Linked DNA regions of Diceros bicornis minor. The protein of the gene in region 2 interacts with the protein of the main gene of each other region in a pairwise test. Links are inferred from orthologs where the notes say so. Each region holds a gene or a part of one and is shown on either strand. Other genes may lie near its edges.

The links. The genes of interacting proteins can lie anywhere in the genome.
Region 1: the proteins of PDE4DIP (region 2) and AIRIM interact in binary tests that used the Homo sapiens proteins (3 or more experiments, as listed by UniProt). The two-hybrid records come from large-scale screens. The link is inferred for Diceros bicornis minor from reciprocal best matches to the Homo sapiens genes PDE4DIP and AIRIM.

The regions. Positions count from the first base shown.
Region 1 is NC_080752.1:51,708,751-51,718,978, reverse strand, and holds the start of AIRIM (AFG2-interacting ribosome maturation factor), read left to right. Parts: upstream 1-5,320; 5' UTR 5,321-5,616; intron 5,617-5,814; 5' UTR 5,815-5,817; coding exon 5,818-6,092; intron 6,093-8,147; coding exon 8,148-8,327; intron 8,328-10,228. Other genes in the region: CDCA8 (borealin), read right to left, coding at 2,983-3,023, 4,523-4,651, 4,791-4,887. UniProt on the Homo sapiens protein: Part of the 55LCC heterohexameric ATPase complex which is chromatin-associated and promotes replisome proteostasis to maintain replication fork progression and genome stability.
Region 2 is NC_080743.1:52,078,325-52,088,982, forward strand, and holds the start of PDE4DIP (myomegalin), read left to right. Parts: upstream 1-6,422; coding exon 6,423-6,655; intron 6,656-10,658. UniProt on the Homo sapiens protein: Functions as an anchor sequestering components of the cAMP-dependent pathway to Golgi and/or centrosomes.

The DNA of each region.
Region 1 (10,228 bases), on a different chromosome or scaffold from region 2:
AAACTGTCCTACACTCGTGTCTGATGTGCATGTCCAAGTTATCTCTTGGCTCTATACTTAGGGATAGAGCATTACAGGGTTTTAGGGTGCACAAACATCAGCCTTGATGTTATGCCTCATTGGTTTCCAAAGTGGTTGCACTTGTTTCCATCCCATGGGCAAACAACACAAGTTCCTAATGACCCACATTCTCTACGACAGTTGGTGCTGCGTCAGACTTCTCATTTTCATTCTTTCTTTTCTTTTTGGTTTTTTTTTTTTGGTGACGAAGATCAGACCTGAGCTAACATCCGATGCCAATCCTCCTCTTTTTGCTGAGGAAGATTGGCCCTGGGCTAACATCGTGCCCATCTTCCTCTACTTTATATGGGATGCTGCCACAGCATGGCCCGACAAGTAGTCCATAGGTGCACACCCGGGATCCAAACCTGCGGACCCTCGGGCGACTGCAGTGGAGCACACACACTTAACCGCTACACCACCAGGCCAGCCCCCCTCATTTTCTTTCTTTATTCTTTTTTTTGGTGAGGAAGACTGGCCCCGAGCTAACACCTGTGCCAATCTTCCTCTATTTTGTATGTGGGAGGCCGCCACAGCATGGCTTGATGAGCTGTGTGTAGGTCCACGCCTGGGATCCAAACCCGCAAACCCCAGGCCACTGAAGCAGAGCACGCAAACTTAACCACTACGCCAACGGGCTGGCCCCTCATTTTCTTTTTTTAAGTCTAGAGGGTCAATAAAGTTTTCTATTGTGCTCCTGGGTCCTTCAAAAAGGCTTCCAGTTGCCATTCTAATTAAATTTGTTCCCAGTGGTGACACCTATACGTATGGGAATAGCCAAGGGCAGTCATGATTCGTAGGCCTTTCCTCACAGGGCACAAGAGAGTTGTTACAGACTAGGAATGACCCAGGTTTTACCTCTAGATTAGTAGAGACTACATGAAGTGCTCAGAGAAGGATTCTGAGGCTGTCCAAGCTTAGTAAGAAACAGTGTTGCAATAGATTAGTGATGTCTGAAGTGGCTGATGGAATGGAATGTGGTGGCCAACTTTCTGCCATCTCTAGAAACAACTGGCATGTTTATGAAGGTATCACCGGTGGCAGGCCACTGACCACCCACCGTGCAGAAGAGTTAACAGGCCTGAGACTGACATCCGTAGAAAGGCCTGTTTACATGGCTGGCCCATGGCTGGCATGAGAACTTGCATTGCAGGGTTCCCACCATTCCCTCAGGAGAATGGCTCACTGTGCCTAAGCTTTGTACAAACAACATGGTTTATGCTGAACACCTGCGTTCCTTCTGCAAGTCTGGCATTTTGGTATATGCTAGGCAGAAGATGCCTATGTGACCAGCCCCCAACAAAAACCCTGGGCATTGAGTATCTAATGAGCTTCTCTGGTAGACAACTTTTCACACCTGTTGAATTAAGCGTGTCATGTGTGACTCCACTGGGAGAGGACTCTTGGGAGCCTGAGCCTGGTCTCCTGGACTTTGCCCCACCCACCTTCCCCTTTGCTGATTTGCTTTGTATCCTTTCACTGTAATAAATCATAGCCATGAGTATGACTATACGCTGAGCCCTGGGAGTCCTCCTAGCCAATTACCAATCCTGGAGGGAGTCTTGGAAGCCCTCACATACTTAACAACTAAGAGCTTTTATACCAAAGTATCATTTCTTCCCGGAGTTTTAAATCACATTATCTAACGCTAGAATTCTCTCCACCTGGTGTGATGACACTGGATGTCTCACACTACATTAGAAGCTCTGATCTGTGGTTCTATATGTCTGATTAGTTAAAAAAAAGGGTGGTGCATTAGCTATGATTCATCTCAGAGGTAAGTCTTCTGAAACATTAGATCTGGGTGTGGATGGGGAGACATATTAAAGAAAGACAAAGCAGGGACTAAGAACGTTTTACTAGTTGTTGATTTTATTTCTCAGTTACTGGCCCTCTCTCTCCTACAAGATTCACCCCCAAGCTCTCTAATTTTTTCCTGATTCAACAACTGGCTCCTAAGTACCTTTAACTTCTGACGCTGGTTGGAGATCTGCTATTCAGTGCTACTATGTACCCTTTGTAATTAGATTGCTTCAAACTCTGCGATTCCAAATGATTCTGATCAACTCATAGAAGGATGTAGAGTCTGGATGGATGTAGAGTCTACAGTTCCATCTGTAAATCTGACGAAGGCCATAATCAACTTTCTCCCCAGAAAGATACACAAATACATGTAAACACACACATTGTTCATGTGTGATTTTAGAGAGTTTAGGGTCTCTGTGAAACCCATTTATGGACTAGTTCCCAACACTGTCCAATAGAACTTTCTGCAGGGTAGAAATGCTCTATTGCTGAGCTGTCCAATATGGTAGCCACTAGTCACGCGTGGCTACTGAACATTTGAAATGTAGCTAATGTGTCTGAGGAACTTAACTTTTAATTTTATTACTTTTAATTAATTTAAACAGCTACATGTAGCTGGTGGCTATTGTAATGGACAGTACAGATCTAAACGTGTTATTTTGCTTCCCCATCTTCCTGCCTTCAGTCCTGGTGCTGATGCTGGGAGGAAGGAAGTGAGAGGGGGTGGGGAATCCCGAGAGACTCAAGCAAGAGTACAGCTTCTGTGGTATTGACACGATAAAGCAACAGTCTCTTTGTCACCTAGCAGGCCAAGTCACTGTGTAATGATCCAGGGGCTTAAAGGAACTTGGATTTAAGGCTTTCTACTTCCCCTGCAGAGGTCAGGGCAAAGAGCTGCAAAGAACCTGCCAAAAATAGAACTGCCTTTCTTCATAGGGCTCAAAACTATTCGGTCTTCATGTACTCAGCATTTGACGACTCTAATTTTTCAGCTGACACAAACAGATAGTGTCCCCTGTGGAACCTCTTCCACAGTAAGCACCCACTGGTTGGATTTTGTGACCAGACTAAACTTAAAAACTAACCAACAGTTTAAAAATAAAACAAGTCACTTACTGTTGCTGCCTCTTCCAGGGCCTGCTTGTTTCCTCCAAGAGCTTTAAAAAGAACATTTTGTTTAGTTACTATCAGATCTTAATGACAAATCATCTTCCCTAATACAACCAGTTATCTTTCTAAAACTGGACCAGATTAAGCCCTTGGTCCAACATTCAAGGACCTTCACAATCTAGTCTAATCTTCCTCCAAGCTTGACTCATCCCCTCCACGACCTATCCTGTGTTCCACCACACCAAAGTTCCTGTTATTTCCCAAATGTGCCACCACCTCTCATGACTCAGAGGCCTGGTACTTATGATTTCCTCTGCACCCGACAAACTTCTAATTCATCCTTCAAACTCAGCCCAGACCCCGAACTCTGCCCATTTTGCTATCACAGCAGATTGCTACATGTTGAGTTAGCTGCTCACTCTCGTCATACCCAACAACTACTCAAAGTTGTTTAAGTGTCCACCCCTGCCCTGAACTGAATTCTTTGAGGACAGAGATAATATCCATAGCTTCTTGCAAAAATATGTCATACAGTAGCTATGTGGTAAATGTGTGTTGAATGAAAGGGTCTCTGCAAGATTTAGATGTAGAACAAAAAGTGAGGTTAGGTCCTCCCGCTAGAAATACTCCTAGTATTCTATAATAGTTAAAAACTCAGGTTTCAAAACCAGAATGCCTGCGTTCAGACAGACTGCCCCCAACTGGTTTATGAGACCTTGAGCAAAGTAACCAATCTCTCTGCACCTTAACCTTGTCATCCATAAAATAGGGACAATATTAATAATGAATATGGTCATTATGAGGACAAAATTAGTTAATATATGCAAAACACTTGGTACAATGCCTGTCTGGCATAGGAAGCACTATACAAATGTGCTTACTGACTAATTTTCATTATATAACCTTGTGTGAATTTTTTAAATGATCCTTCTCTACTAACTTGTCAGTTCCTGAGAGTAGGGACGATGTCTGTTTTATTCCTCAGGGCATCCAGCCTTGTTACTGACACACACGCTCAATGAATATTTGTAGAAATGTGTAAACAAGATTACTAAATAAAACAGCGAATCAAAAGAATCATTAAATGTCTACTATTTGAGCAGAACAGGCATTTCTACCCAGGAAAGAGGCTACATGCTGTGTAATTAACAATAAGCAAAACAGAAAAAGGGTAATCCAGCAGAAAGGACAGCCTCTTGCATTTCCCTGGACATTTAACAAGGGGGTGGGGAACAGGCTGGGATTTTTCTCTGGCCAGGAAAACTCTCAGGTCCTTGCACTTCACAATTCGATTTGCCCATTTTTAAATTGGCAATTTCCATAAGATGCAGAAAGCACTGCTTGGGGTTATCCTTCCACCCGAACTCTGGTAGCAAATCAAGTTACTCATTCATTCGTTTTTAAATAGTTGGATAAAATATGTATATTAAAAAAGGGGAGGTGGGGGTGCTGCAGTTTCCTATAGTGATCATGGAAGACCTCACTGGTCACGATAACCACAGAGGGGCTCCAGACCGAGGCCTGGGCACACTCCAGCAGCTCTTACCGAAGTAGTCCAGCCAGTTCATCTCGCGCAGCGCCTTGGGCAGCCGCAGGATCTCGATGTTGTACAGGTTATCCAACTCCTTGAGGAGGTTCTGCCTGTCTGACTGAATTTGCTTGGATCGTATTTGCACTGCGAGAGGGCAGAGCCGACAGGACACGGGTCACCGAGCGGGTCAATGGGGCCTCGAATCCGTGCTGCCTGCGCCCCAACCCGCCAGCGCCCCGCGATCGCCCCCGGTAGCCGCGACGACCAGGGGTCCGCCCCTCACCTTCACGGTCGAAGTCCTTAAGAAAGGAGGCGAGCTTCCGGCTCCGTAGCGAGTTAGTCTTGGCTACTCGATTGCTGCCCTTCCTAGACGGAGCCATGGCGCTTCGGTGGAGGCTGCGGGGAGCGGGGAACCGAGCTAGAAGGGGTCAGCGGCGGAGATGGGGGAGGGAAAGGGGTCGCGAAGTGGCGGGAGAGGGCGGACGGGCGCCCTAGGGGGCTAGAAGGGGGACCCCTGCCCTAGGGGCCAGGACTTAAAAGGCACATACCTGCAGGTCGAGAAACAAGGGCTGAAAAACCTCGCCGCTCCAGCTGAGAGGGAGCGGCTCCGCGGCCAACCGGACGTGCGACCGCCGCCACCAAATTCAAACTGCCACAGGCTGACCAATGAGAAGTCGCCGTCTTGGGAGGGTTCCACAACATCCAATCACAAGGAAGCTCTGTGCTCAGGCAGCCAGTCCACACGTAGGACTACAGCACCCAGAAGGCATTGCGGCTGACGACATATTTTCGCGACTCAGTAGCCGCGTTGGGGCATGCGTAGAGAAGCTGCGGGCGCAAGGTGGTGGCTTTACCGGGTTGTCCGGCTCTGCCTTGCTTCAAGTGTTCTCGCAGGTTTAGGGACAACGACTGGCAGTCTCAAGGAGAGGAGACAGCATTCCTGCTCTGGAAGCACGGGTCCGGCGTGGGAGACCGGGCTTCGGTCCCGGGAATCCGCAGTCTAAAGCAGGAGACTGCCCTAGCCAGGGACGAGCCTCCTCCGTGGGAGAGTCAGGAAACCGTTCCCGAGGTGGGAAACAAGGATCTGCCTCCCGAGAGCCCCTCTAGAGGTAAGACAAGGCCTCGCGCCGGGAGCTCCTGTCGGAAAGGATAGACAGCCCGCCCTACCTGCCAAGATAGAAACCCTGGTGTAGATGGACCTCGCCTGAGAACGGAAATAACTCCCACCCTTGACCCGGTACTTCCCCTACCTACTGGGGACCCTAATGCTGTTGTTTTCTTTCTGGTTTCTTTTTTTCTCCCAACAGAAGATGACTCAAGACCAGCCTTTGCTTGCTGTGCAGGAGGCCCTGAGGAAGTGCTTTCCCGTGGTGGAGGAGCAGCAGGGCCTGTGGCAGAGCACCCTACGGGACTGCCAGCCCCTCCTGGCCTCCCTCAGCAACTTGGCCGAGCAGCTGCAGGCGGCTGAGAACCTGAGATTCGAGGATGTGCCGTCACTTCGAGCCTTCCCAGATTTAAAGGAGCGGCTCAGGCGCAAGCAGCTGGCGGCTGGTGACACTGTCATGGACAAGCTAGGGGAGAGGCTGTAAGAGGCTCGATGGCGCTCTTTCTTGGAGGATGTTTTATAAGTAGCTCGGATCGGTCAGAAGGGTGTTTTTCTTCTTGAGAGCGTGATTTTTGGGGGTGTCTCATCCTTTCCATCTGTTGCTTTGAGACCTCTGTCAAAAAGCCATTTTCTGGCATTTCCGTTTTCAGGCTAGGCATGGCAGTGGTGGACTTAGTAGAAGTTACAAAAGCGGAACAGAAAAGCAATGAAGAAGGCTTATTAACCCTTCTCTATAGTTTTCTTTGGTAAAAAGCAGTGAGGAGGGGCTGGCCTGGTGGCATAGTGGTTAAGTTCAGCGCACTCTGCTGTGGCAGCCCAGGTTTGGGGTTCGTGGGTTCGGATCCCAGGTATGGACCTATACCACTCATCAAGCCAGGCTGTGGCAGCGACCCACATACAAAGTAGAGGAAGATTGGCACAGATGTTGGCTCAGGGCCAATCTTCCTCACCAGTGCTCCTCCTCCAAAAAAAAAGAGCAATGAGAGCTATACTGGAAACAGTAGGTGCTAGAGCTAACGGTTTTATAAGCATTATCTCATAAAATCTTTTCGGCACCTGTGTGACTTAACTTCACTTAATACTGTTTTGCAGGCGAGGAAAAAGGCTCAGGCAGATTGCCTGTGGTCGCACAGCTAGTAAATAGTAAAGCTGGGACTCCAACCGAAATGTGCCTGACACCAAGGCTGGAGCTCGTAACCACCACTTTGTTCTGTGGTACACTGATGTCTCTCTTCCTGGGAGTGGCACATCTCTAAGCTCTTCTTATGCCTGATGTTAGACCGTCTATCTTAGAGTCCTAGGTAATTGAGGATAGAGAAGAGCCAGAGCACATATGGCTTTCCTTGACCAGAACAAAACAAGGTTCTAGTGTATAGAGTTTGTGCCATAGACTGATAGGAAACCGTCTGTCAAAGATGAGGACCTTCTTTGTATTCACTTGTACAAAATATATTAAGCCCCTGTGGGATGCCAGGCACAGGGTCCTGGGAATACAATGAACCAGACGTATTCCTTAGCTGAGTGGAAGAGATAGACAGTCACTCAATTAAGTTATGTTGTGGTACGTTCGAAAAATCGTGAACTTTTATTTCAATTGATTACATATTTGTGTGTGGGTATTGGGCTGTTATTGTAAGTCTATTTTTTAATCGTGAGTCAAGGTCAAACATATTTGAAAGCCACAATTCTAGGCTAGGGAATGCCTTGCCCTTTGGGAAGTTGTAGCCTTCATCTTGGTGGCTGGGCCCCTTGGAGTCACCAATGGAAAAATAACAATATTTACCATAGGCTAGGCACTCCCTCAAGCGCTTCATAATAATCCTTTTCATTCATTCCTTCATTGAATAAGTGTTTGTTGTTTTGTGACCCAGTCCCGATGTTCTAGGTACCTTAGGTTGTGCAGTGAGCACAACACAACATTTTTATACATGATTGAGAATAAGTGACTTTCTTAAGATCCATAGTAGTCTCTGTGCATCCAGAGCCCAGACTTTACCGTTCAAGAATTTACTAGCGTGTGAACAGTGCTGGTTGGTTGCCTTGGTTTCCTCTTGCTTATTGCCTTTCACATACGGGGCATGGGACTGTGGGTGAGCATTTGCTCTCTTCATGTGGTTTTATGGCAGCCCCGGAAAGGCCCCTTGGTCTTTACTTTCTTTAGCAACTGGGCTTATCATACAGTTTTGAGAGCCATGTAACTTCTTCAGCCTCTCTATCTTTAAGTCAATTCTTAATTTTTGAGCCACCCCTACCTCCAAGGCACCATCACTAATCTTAGACCAGTTGGTCTCGTTTGGAGGCAGTTTTGTGGGTTGGGACGTTTGGCAATATGTAGAGACATTATTGATTGTCACAACTTGGGGAAGGTAGAGCTGTGGTTTGCTCCTGTCATCTAGTGGGCGGAGGCCAGGGATGCTGCTAAACATCCTACAATGTGGAGAGCAGCCCTTCACCACAAAGAATCACCTGGTCCAGAATGTCAGTGTGCCAAGGCCTTCCTCATGGTGTTGCCTAATACCAGACGTTTTCCCCCAGAGCTGCCCTCCTCAAGGTGCGAGACACAGTCAGCAGCCACGTGGAACGCGTGCTTCAGATCTATGTGCAGCGTGCAGACGCGATCGGCATTGATGCCGCCCTGCAGGCCTCCGTTGTGAGCCCCTCTGTGGCCGACATGTTGGAATGGTTGCAGGATATTGAGAGACATTATCGACATTCGTATCCTTTGCACATGTTTCAGGTAGTGTTCAGAGTTGTTCCAGGAAGGCTTTTTAGTTTCAGTTTCCACAAGATTACAAAACTATATGGTGTGGGTCAGTTCTCTTTGATTCCTGATCTTGGATTCTTCCTGCATTCCTTCGTCCAGTCATTCCTCAAATCATTTATTGAGTGACTACCTTCCAGGCATTGTTCCAGGTGCTGGGAGATAGGCATTCCAAAGGGAAAGTGTATGGAACGTCAAATGGTGATAAGTGCTATAGAGAAAAATAAAGTGGGGAAGGTGAGGGATGAGGCTGGGGTTGTGATTTTAAATAGGGTGCTCAGGGCAGGCCTCACTGAGAAAGTGACGTTTGAGAAAGGACCTGAAAAGGACGAGGGAGGGAGGCATGTGGATATTTGGAGGAAGAGTGTTCCAGGCAGAAGAAACATCAAGTGCAAAGGCCCTGAGGTGGAGCATGCCCTAGGTTCAGGAAATAGCAAGAAGGCCAGTGGGTAGAGCAGGGTGAGGAGTGGGAGCCTAACGAGATGAGGTCAGAGAGATGGGGTGGGACCTCGTAGGGCCTCGAAGCTCTTTGAAAGGACTTTGGCTTTTACTCTGAGTGAGATGGAAAGCTGTTGGAAGGTTTGTGGGTTTTTTTGTATTTTTTTTTTGTGAGGAAGATCAGCCCTGAGCTAACATCCATGCCAATCCTCCTCTTTTTGCTGAGGAAGACTGGCCCTGGGCCAACATCTGTGCCCATCTTCCTCCACTTTATATGGGACGCAGCCACAGCATGGCCCGACAAGCGGTGCATCAGTGCGCGCCCGGGATCTGAATCTGGACTGCCAGCAGTGGAGCGCACGCACTTAACCGCTACGCCACGGGGCCAGCCCCTGTTGGAAGGTTTTAAGTAGAGGAATAACATAATCAAAACCACGTTTTTAACAGTATCACCCTGGCTGTGTTCTGAGGAAAGACTTGGGGTGGTGGGGGCAAGGATGGAGGCGGCAAGAGCAGTTGGTTAGAGTTCTGGCCTTTTTCTCTCTATTTTCGCCTGATACCCGCATCTACCCTCTGGCTTAAGTTTCTACTTCATTTGAGTAACTCCCAAATCCAACCTTTATTCTTGTCTCTAGTCCTGATTTTCAGTTTCCTGCAGCTGCCTCTAACTGGATTGCCCACAGAACTGCAAACTCAGATTTAACCTTGAGCTTCTCCATCTGGCCCTCACATTCCACTCCCTTTCCCTCAGTGGTAGGATCTTGCCTGTCTAGGCACCCAGTCTGGAAACTTAAGCAGCATCTTCCCCCTTTTCCTGTTTTCTCTTTTAATTGCAGCAGCAGCAGTGGTGGTGGTGGGTACAACAGTGTGCGCAGTCAGAGCAGGAGGTGCGCTAACGTTACTGAGCACTTACGTGCCAGCTGCTGTTCTAAGAATATTTGCACAGTCACTTGTCAGCTTCTTTGATTCTGTTTCTCTGGCGCTTCTTGTATTTTCTTCTCTATCCCCACTGCCTCTTCCGTAGTTTCTTACCTCTCACTGGGACCCGTGACCCCACGCAGCGTCTTGCCAGGCTTCTCTGCCTCTAGGTTCTTTCCCTCTGAGCCGTCCCAGCTGGTGACCTCACTCCGTAGGTCTTCAGGAGGTCTGGTGCTGAGCCTGTTACCTGTAGAGGAGTTTGCACTAGCTTCTGTTCCAGGAGGGTAGAGCGCAGAATCCCCACGCTGGTCTTCAGTGCTCTTTGTGTTCTGGCTCCGCCTGCCTCCTCAGCCAGCTTTCCTGCTACTCTGCACTGTCCCCTGCCAGCCAGAGTGGATGATTTACTTGTCTCTGAATCCTTCCATGCTTCCCGCTTCTGTACCTTTGCTTATGCTTTTCCTCTCAGCTGGAACCTTCGTGCTACCCTCCAGGCTGGATG
Region 2 (10,658 bases):
GATGGTGTACATGTCAGCTCAAGCAGGTAGGCAGAGAGAGAGAATTCAACCTGCCTCTGTCTTTTTGTGTTATTCAGGCTTTTCAAAGGATTGTATCATGCTCACCCACATTGAGAAGGGCAATCTACTTTACTCAGTCCACTGATTCAAATGCTAATCTCTTCCAGAAGCACCCTCACAGACACATCCAGAAATAATGCTTAAACAGATATCTGGAAATGCTGTGGCCCAGTAAAGTTGACATATAAAATTAACCATCACATGTCTCTATGATTTTTTGACTACTCTAGGTATCTCATAAGTAGAATCATACAGTATTTGTCTTTTTGTGACTGGCTTATTTCACTTAGCATAATGTCCTCAATGTTCATCCATGTTGTAGCATTTATCAGAATTTCTTTCCTTTTTAAAGCTGAATAATCTTCCACATTCTGTTTTTTGACTCATCCATTGTTAGACAAGTGAGTTGCTTCCACCTTTTGGCTATTGTGAATAATGCTGCTATGAAAATGGGTGCACAAATATCTCTTTGAAACCCTGCTTTCAGTTCTTTTGGGTATATACCTAGAAGTGAGATTGCTGGATAAGATAATTCTATTTTTAATTTTTTGAGGAACCACTATATTGTTTTTCATTGCGGCTGCACCATTTTACATTCCCACCAGCAGTACACAAGGGTTCCAATTTCTCCACATCTTGGCCAAGACTTGTTATATTTGGGGTTGTTTGTTTTTGACAGGAGCCATCCTAATGGGTGTGGTCCTATGGGCTCTTTTTATCTTTCTCATTTTAGAGTTTTTAAAAATATACTTTATGTCAAATATTGTAGTCTTGTTTTAAAACAAATTTATTGTTACAAAAAACTAAAACAAATTCATTGTTACTAAAATTAAAAAACAAAACAAAACAATAACAGGGGCCAGCCTGGTGGCATAGTGGTTAAGTTTGGCGCACTCCGCTTTGGCGGCCCGGAGTTCCTGAGTTTGAATCCCGGGTGTGGGTCTACACCACTCATCAAGCCAGGCTGTGGCAGCAACCCACATACAAAGCAGAGGAAGACTGGCATGGATGTTAGCTCAGGGCCAATCTTCCTCAGGCAAAAAGAGGAGGATTGGCAACAGATGTTAGTGAAGGGCCATGTCCTCATTGAAAAAATAAAAATATGAATAAAACAATAAAACAATAACAAAAAATCATGAATCAGATCAATCACTCTTTCCCAGAGGAATAATAAGTGAAAGGGATGAGAAAGAGCAAGGAGTGTCACCCCAAAATGCGTCTGAATGGAAGTTTCTCCATTATGGAAAGAGGAGCACTGGAGCAAAGAAATTCCCTCCTAATATTTTCAGGCTTTTTGTTTTCTCAGCCAGTTGGGCTTTACCATTTGTTAAACCAGAGGCTGGCTCTCTTCTTGAGGGGGAGAGAGCAGTCTAATTAGGACAATTCTGTCCCCAACTTCAGGTAGCCCCACTCTGAAAACCACAGGAGGATAGTTAAGTTTTTATGCTCAGAGGCTCTGAAATAGGTCAAGCTAGTACATTAATTAAATTAATTCCAAAGCCTGACTGTAAGTAAGGCCAATAGATATAATCGCTACTATTTCCTATTCCATTTACCAGGTTAAACTATTAACTTGTTATGTTGTCTAATACAGTATACTAAAAACATGTAATGAAATAAAATGTCAAGAGAAAGACACTAAAATTATACAATATCAGAAGATACTTCAAATTAGGATATTAGTCTTTTTTCATTATCAAATTTTCAGTTGGGAGATTAACTCTCCTTCTCTTTGTAAAGTAAACTGCATAGAAAATCCAGACTCTGTGAAGTTCACAGAAATTAAAATGCAAAAATCATTATTTCCCAACTACTTATTATACTTAGGCTCAGCCAGCATTGTTCTTAAACAGGTGCCTGGGTAGAATCAGGATTCTTTCATCAGCTGTAAGGCTGAGCTGTTTTCACTGGAAAATTTCTTCAGTATCTTCAATTTGAATTGATTCAATCAAAATTTCTGATGTTTCTTACTTTCAAACAATCCAAAACATAATAGGACACTTAATATTAAATTATCAAAATATTAAATTAATACTAATTTAATTAAGCCAAAACATTAAAATTAAAAAGTAAATTCCAAGGCCATAGAGCTACCCAAACAAAATGGTGTTATCAGAAGCCAGTGTACTACTTGGGATATGTCAGAACCACATAGCTGTTTCTGAACAGCGTAGCAGAAACTCAGCATCAAGAGTAGAGAAAGAAGAGAAAACCTTTTCAGTTTTAGCTTCTCTGGCTTACCAATCATTTTATGCCAGTTATCTGAACCTATGACTTGTAAACATAGTCTCAATTGAGAGAAATGTTTCCCATGATGAGGTTAATTATTGTGCTGTGTTTAATACATGACAAATGGAGGTGGGAATCACCTATACAAATTGTTTCCTCTTTCAGGGAAGGACACTTGAGATTTTCCTGCCTTGTTATAAAATTTAGCAATTTAAAGGTTGGCAGTCTTTTTTTCCGGTTACTAACTATGTTTTAATGAGCTTATTGATTTTGGTTTTCCACCAGCATAATCAAAACCTATTAATTTCCATTTCCCCCTTTTTTCCTGACACCCAAGGGCTGATTTGAGTGTAGGCTCTGTTTAGTGACATAATTTTCATATTCTCTTGTGCGTGTTCATTTTCAGCCCTTGCACAGTGACTCCAGCCACTGTGTAAACGCTATGAGACTGATTAGGCCTATGAAACCTGCCTCCTGATCAAGATTCCCTACTTTATTTCAGCTGGAGAATTGTCTTCAGCACATTTCTGAGTTGAAACTGCTTCTAATATTTCCGAGATATATTGGTTTTTTATTCTACTTGGGGTTTACTGAACTTCTGGAATCTAAGAAGGCAATATCTTTCATCAGTTTTAGAAAATTCTTAGTCTTTATCTCCTGGGATATTGCTTTTAGCCCACTCACGCTCTCCTCTCTTTCAGAGACTGTAATTACACATATATTTTATCTTTTGACTGTATTCCACATGTCTGTTATGCTCTGCTCTTTTTTCTCTTCTTTTTTCTGTCCTTCATTTTGGAATTTTCTATTGACCTACCTACCACTTCACTAATCCTGACTTCTGCTGTATTCAGACCGCTGGAAACACACCCAATGGGCTCTTATTTTCAGTTATTGTAATTTTTATATTCAGAATTTCCATCTGATTTTTTTATAGATTCCAATTCTATATTGAAGTAAATTATCCATTTTACATCATTGCTCATTTCTTCCTCTATTTTCTTAAACCTATTAGTCATAGTTATTTCAAGTCCTGTCAACTCTAATATCCAGGTCTGTTTCTATTAATTTTTCTCTTAGTGGTTAGTCACTTGGATTTGATTTTTAGAATGCCTCATAATTTTATCTTGGATCCTAGACATTGTGGATGAAAAAATTGTAGAGGCTATGGATAATGTTATTCAACTCCCAAGAGTTCAGTTTTGTTCTGGTATGCAGAAAGAATACTGGCAGATCAGTTTGATCCTGTAAAGACGTGGTTTTAAGCTTTGTTAGACCTATTCTATTTCAGTACTGTATTGCCCTTACTCTAATAGTGTGGCCTTTTTGGGTATCAGCTGAAAGCCCTGGGTGTCTCTCTACCTTGGACAGGCTTGAAGTCCAACTTGTGTTAGATGCTGAAATCTCTTCTTAGCTCATTAGGCTCCATACTGCTGTTTTCTGGCATCTTGCTTTGTGCATGCTGGGCTTAGGAACTGGCCCCTATTCTGAGGGGAATTTGTACCCAGATTATTGAGCTGCTTCTCTGCCATTCTCCCCTCTCTGGGGATTCTCCCTCAAGTCCCAGCCACTTTGGCAGCCCTGAACTTTCACCTTTGTCTCTTTAGCCCAGTAATACTGCCATCTTGTACTTGGCCTTTATTCTCTAGCACCTGATTTGTAAAATTCTCTCAGGAGAAAAATCCCAGGGTGAATATGGAGCTCACCTCATGTGCTTCTCTTCTCTCAAGGATCATAGATTGGATTCCTGTTTGCTTTGGCTACTCCTCAATGCCTTCCAAGACTTGTTTTTGTATTTTCCTATATTTAAATATATATAGTATTTATATATTTATTAATATTTATATATTCTATGCAATTCCACTCCCCTTGCCCAGGAGGAAAAAGTTAATCTGATACATGCTCCTCCATTTTGGCTGGAACTGGAAGTCTCAGCACTTCTTAGCTTTTGGGTTTGTGGTAATTTCGATGAACTGTTTGTCTGCCTCAACTAACGAAGATGGCATATTCTCTTTAAATTAATGAACCCATTCCTTTTAATTTGTGTATTATATAAAATCTACTACTCGTCTGTGGGCAAAGCCAAAGTCTGAGTCAGCTAGGAGAGCAGCTTCAGCTAAGTAATAGGATTAGAAGCCCGACTGCCAAGAATTAGGTGGTAAAGAATGAATGGAAGTCAGGAAGTATAGACATCAAATGAATACAATGTATTTAAGCAAACTGGTTATGAAGGGAAGTGAGAGCTATGACGGTGGTTAGAGGTGGAAGAACTTTGTTTTAGGGATGAGGAGACTTGAGCGTCTTTATAGGCTGGGGATGGAGCTAATGGAGAATGGGAGGCCAAAAATATAAAGACAACAAAAGATAATTAACACTTTCTAAGTAGAGATGAGAGCGGTAGGGTAAACTGCCCAGGGAAGATAGATTGGAAAGAAAGAGAGGTAAAGATATAGATTAAGTTAGGAGGTTTGAAAGAAAGAATAATGAGATACTTGATGAGACACTAGATAGCGTTATTTCCAAGAGGCAGTTGGAATCATGATGGGGGCGACCACTTAAAGATAAAGAAATAGTAAAGAAGTGGAATTAAAAACTGGATGAGATGGATAAGTGAGAGAGACAAGTCTCAAGTGACTCCCAGGTTTGAGGCTTGAGCCACTGGGTTGATGGTAGTGTGGGGGTTAAAAAAAAACAAGACTGAACAGCATATTTGGAAGGAAAAATAAATTAAGGGTGAGTTCAGCTTTGTTCTGTTAACCTTAAAAATAAAACAGCCAGTTATTTTACCAGAAAAATGAATTTATTTGGGAATAGTCATAGAATTGCAATTTGGAATGGGCATGCTATAGCGGACCATTGGCAAATCCAACAAACAAGAGAGAGGAATGTTATTTTATAGAGAAAAAGGAGGAAAATGGGAGGGATTGTTTTGAAGGACACTTCACTGGGGAAAAGCAAGAGTTCAGGACATTGAGAGTTTCTCATTGGCTAAGTTGCTGGGGTAGTCCATTTCTGTTTGGGATCCAATTACATTTCTTCCTGTAATTGACGGTGCTTTCCTGTTGACTTCTTTCTGTTGAGGTCTATAATTGACTTTTCTGTAATTGACCTTCAATGGTACTGCATGGCAGCTCCCCCTCCCAGCCTCCCAACTCCATTTTAAATGAGGTTTCCCTTTATTAATTTTCACAGTTCACATCGAGTCAATCAACAATAGTGACTATATTGCCTATCAACATTGGGATCGATAGTACCCACCACAAAGATAAAGCTTCTCCCTTGCAGGCTTTGTGCCATATAGAATAGTGTAGTAGAAGCATTCTGCTTTGCTGGAGACTCACTAGCTTCCATTCTTAGAGGACACTGGAATATAAGAAAACGGTTTTCAGAACAAACATTTAGTGGAGGACTTATTTGACCTATGAACTTTTTTCTAACCATGAAAACATACCCTTGACTTGATGGTGGATACCAAGCTATATATATTTTACTATGAGTTCTTCATGAAAAATGGCAATCAGAAGGCCTCAACTGAAAGGAAAACTGAGGTTGTTTAGGAGAAAGGTTTTTACAATAACTAAAGGGAAAATTGAAAAGAAGATTTTAAAAGGAGGAGAAGGCGGGAAAGAGGGAGAAAAGAGGCTAGCCAACAACCTGGAGAAGTAGTGATTCTGAGGAGAGGATAATACAAGAGGATGACTGCTTTTGAGGGAGGAGGAGAACAAAAACTGGGAAAATACGGAGAGAGGAAATGAGAAAAGGAGAAAGTTCTTGAGGTTGGAAATTGAGGATGGTGACAATAGAACGGATAGGAAAAATAAAGAATGAAGTCTGGGAAAGAAAAGCTCTCCACGTGGGGGTAGTAGGTGGAGAGAGAATGGGGAGATGATAGAGGGTGAAGAGGCAGCGGCGGATGTTTGTGGGAGAGGGACAGAGGCAATCTGGGCGGAGCAGGTGGCAGAGGCAGGCGCGGAGGAGGCCTAGTCCTTCCAGGTCTCCACCACAACAGTGGCAACTGGTGTGAATACTCATCCACGCCTAGACGATGGATGCGCCTTGTCAGTGCGGGAAGATCGTAGGAAAACCAAGCAGGGACGGTAGCTAGGACTGGCGTGGCCAGGCTCGGGAAATCCATGAACAGGACCAACAGCGGATCCTGCTGCCGCCGCCGCTGCGACTGCAGCAGCTGCTGCCGCGCATCCCGCCGGGCGCACCACGCGCCTTACTGGTCTGGGGACACGGCGCAAGCCCCACAGCCCTCGCGGCGGTCTCCCGGCCGGGAAGGACGGCATCCCGAGCAGGCTGGGAGCTGGGCAGCAGCGGCCGAGGAGGAAGAGGCAGTCGCGGCGGCCGCACCCTGGATGAGGTGAGAGCACCGCGGGTGCGCCGGAGGCTGCAGACTGCGCCGAGAGGGGCGGCGCGCCTTGCGCTGGGCTAGAGAACCGCTCCTGGGACTGGGACCCAGGGGCTGGAGACCTGGGCGCCTGGGAGGGGTTGGTGCCAAGTGACATTAGCTTGGAGAAGGTTGAAGGGCACCAGGAGTGAGGGGTGATGCAGCTGGTGGCGGGGACGGGAGGGGGAGAGACAGTGGAGGGTTGCCTAGAAATAAAGATGGGGTGCTGGATTGTACCGGACTAAATCTTGGGAAACCCAGTCTCTATCCCAAGGTCTCTGCTTAATGTGGAGATCACCCGCTTTGTTGGCGGAGATGAGGTTGAAGGCCATGCTTGTTGGGTGGAGTCAAAAGAGAGATGAATACATGATTCAGAAGGCCATGTCAGGGTGGAAGCATTAGGGATAGTAAAAGGAGATAAAGGATCAGGAAATGTGCATGGGAGTACATTTGAAAGAGTAGGCACTGCCTTCTCTTACACCCTCTTTTTAATTTTTTTTTTCATATTTATCTTAGATACAGACAGCAAGATGGGGGTTGGTGACGGTCCCTTCTTCCTAGGCTACCTCTCTTCCCCTACAGAGCTGGAGCCCTGCCTGTTGGCTGGATGAGGTTGTGCAGGACAAGCTCCACCCAAACAGGTCCCTTCCTTTGCTCTGGCTTGGAAGATCGGGCAAATGAGGCCCAAATTGTCTTCACGCAGCAGTAGCAGGATGAAAATCTGCCATGCATACGATTTTTTGGAGAAGAGACAGATGGTGCTGCTGCCTTTTTTGAAATAAGCATTTCCTTGTCATAGCATCTTTGGCTTATTCTCTTATGGGAAGCTAGTACCCATGAAACAAACTACAAGGCGATAGTGGTTTCAGTCTCTAAGCTGCCCTTAACTAACTGGGATCTGAAAAAAGTTACTCATTTCTCTAGGCCTCAGTTTCCTATGTGTAAAATCAGGATTTGGATCTTTTGAGTATTTATTACAGAACTAAATATTAATGGAATCTGTATTCTGTGTTCAGAACTATGCTTTATTTGTGAACTAGGAAACAAGTTTATTTACAGCCACTTAATTGTATTGATTCATCATACTGTCCACTGTTTATTTGAGAAGACTGAATCAAACATTCAGTTAACAGTGCTTAAAGGAATCACATTTCTATTAAGAAATCCATAATAAATTACTGCTTTTAAGAAGGAATGAAGCAAGAAGTATTCATTATTTGATTTTTTATAAAGTGAAATTTTAGCCTAAATATAAGTACTTTTTTTTTTAACATATCTATCTATGGGGTGTTGAATATTTTTTACAGAGTACTTTGGAGTTTTTTTAAAGCTTGAAACAAAAAAATTTAATCTGAATATATATTTATAATTTAAAATCTTCTTAACTACTTTATCTACACTGGGGTGACCTCCTTTCATCAAAAGAAGCATTACCATTGCAAAATTTTAAGTGGATCGTGACTTCTTATCATAAAGGTGTGATTTTTCTTACTGTCTTTGGTAACAAAAAGTTTGTAGGATTAGAATTTGGTTCTCTAAATTGTGGTTTAATTGTTAAAATAAATAGCATGCTTTAATTATTTCATTAATAGTTACTCATCTGACAAACCTCTACATTCATCTTAGTTGATGTAATGACGAGCCTTGAAATGTTTTTAAACATTTCAGGAATTCTCAAAGGAAACAGTGTCAGGGACTTCACTGAGGTTGGTGCTACTCTGACCTTCATTTAAAAATCAAGTCTCCAGGAATGTGCAGCGTACTTTTAAAAACATACGTGTCTTAACTATAATATTAGAGGTTTATGAGAATTAGAGGCTTGTACTTGGGAAGGAGTGTTTTTGGTATCCAATTTTCTAACTCCCAATCAACTAAAAAATGAAAGAAAGCAACTCTGCACACTATCCAGATTCAATTTAATTCAGTGTTATTTATTGAGCAGTGCTGGTGGAGGCCAGTACAAAACTGGATCCAAAACTACCCTCAGGTACCTGAGACTCTGTAGTTCTAAACTATGCTCATCTAACTATGTATAGTATGGAGTAAGTGCTGTAACAGAAAGATGGACTGTGGAAATAAAAAATAAGTAAATAAAAGAATATCTCTGGGGAAGGCTGGCTGACTGTGTCCCAAGAAGCCATACAAGGTGGCCTTATCTTGGAAAGTATGTGAGAATCTGGTCTTTAACTTGTTGAGTCTGTTTCTCACACTGATATTCAACAAATCCACGAGACTATGATATAAACCCAGGAAGGCAAATTATTAATTTATAATGAAGATTCTAACATCTTAGAGAATTAGACCCTCTTTTGTTATTTCAGTGAGGTCTCTGGGCATACTTGCCACATTCAGAAGCCAAATTAGAACCACAAGATTGTTTGTGAAACTTGAATTTAGAACAAAGGGGATTAATCAGTGAATTCTAAATTTTAAAAAACACTTTAAAGCTTCAAACAGAGTATCAAGGGATACAAATGGGTTCTTCCTTCCCTGGATGGTGTGTCACTAATGATCAAACTCTCTTCTCACATACACCTTTTTTCTGTCTCTGACATGCTAATATTTTCAACCAGGTCATAGTCTGTTTGGCTTGGGGAATCCTTGTGTCTGTTTCAAGTGTCTGCACATCTCTTCTCTGAACCAGTTTGTCTTCACCATAGCTTGGTGAGCGTACTTGCCCTAGGTAAAATTCATGACAGGGATAGGGAAGTGGGATTGGGGGACCTTGTTACAGCCCCTATGTCCTGGCAATATGAACCAGGTAGTTAGTGGCAACTGGATATGGTGCTAAGGGACAGTGGATCAGAGAGGGCTTCACACACTCAGGAGAAGAACTTTGTGTGGCCTAGTAAGATAATGAAGTCAGGGTTGAGGGGAAGGCAAATTTTAGCCCAGGGATACAAGCAGATGTATGGCCCTGAGAAAATGCCTTATTGAAGTGAGACCCACACTGGGACAGCACTTTTCTATGAGGATTTAATTCAAAGATGATCCTCTTTCAAGTATACAGCTATTTAAAAAGAGGAATTAAGTGAGTTGCTGATGGCAGTCTGCCTCAGTGTGTACTTTTGAAGCCTAGCAGATTGCACATTCTAGGTGGATAGCCTGGAACCAGCAGACAACTGTCAGGGGGAATGATGTTGGAGAAGGTTCAGTCAATTTCTAACATCAAACGTCAACCATTGTGTCTCTTTAGCCATCTCTCCTTTTGTTATTATTATTTTTTGCTGCTTTATTGAGATATAATTGATATACAATAAACTGGGCAAATTTAAAGTGCACGATTTGAAAAATTTTGATATATGTATATATCTGTGAAATTATCACATATCCATCATCCCAAAAAGTTTCCTTCTGCTCTTTTATAATCCCTCCCTCCTGTCTCTTCCTGCCCTAGTAACACACAGACAACCACTGATCTTTCTGTCACTATATGTTAGTTTGCATTTTCTAGAATTCTATATAAATGGGTACATACAGTATGTACTCTTTGCTTTTGCCTGGCTTCTTTTACTCAGAGTAGTTATTTTGAGGTTTATCCATGCTATTGACAGTATCAGTAGCCCATTTTCTTTCATTGCTGAGTAGTATTTCATTGTATGGATATGCCACAATTTGTTTATTAATTCATCAGTTGTTGAGTTGTTTCCAGTTTTTTGGCTATTACAAATAAAGTTGCTATGAACATTGGTGTACAAGTCTTTATGTGTGCATATGCTTTCATTTCTCTTGGGTAAATTTCTGGGAGTAGAAGAGTAGGCGTATGTTTAACTTTTTAAGAAATTGCCAACCTCTTTGTCAAAGGAATTGTACCTTTTATGTTCCCACTAGTAATGCATGCAGGTTCCCATTTCTCCACACCCTTGCCAACATTTGTTACCGTTATGTCTTTTTTTTTTTTTTTTTTGGTGAGGAGATCAGCCCTGTGCTAACATCTGCCAATCCTCCTCTTTTTTTTGCCGAGGAAGGCTGGCCC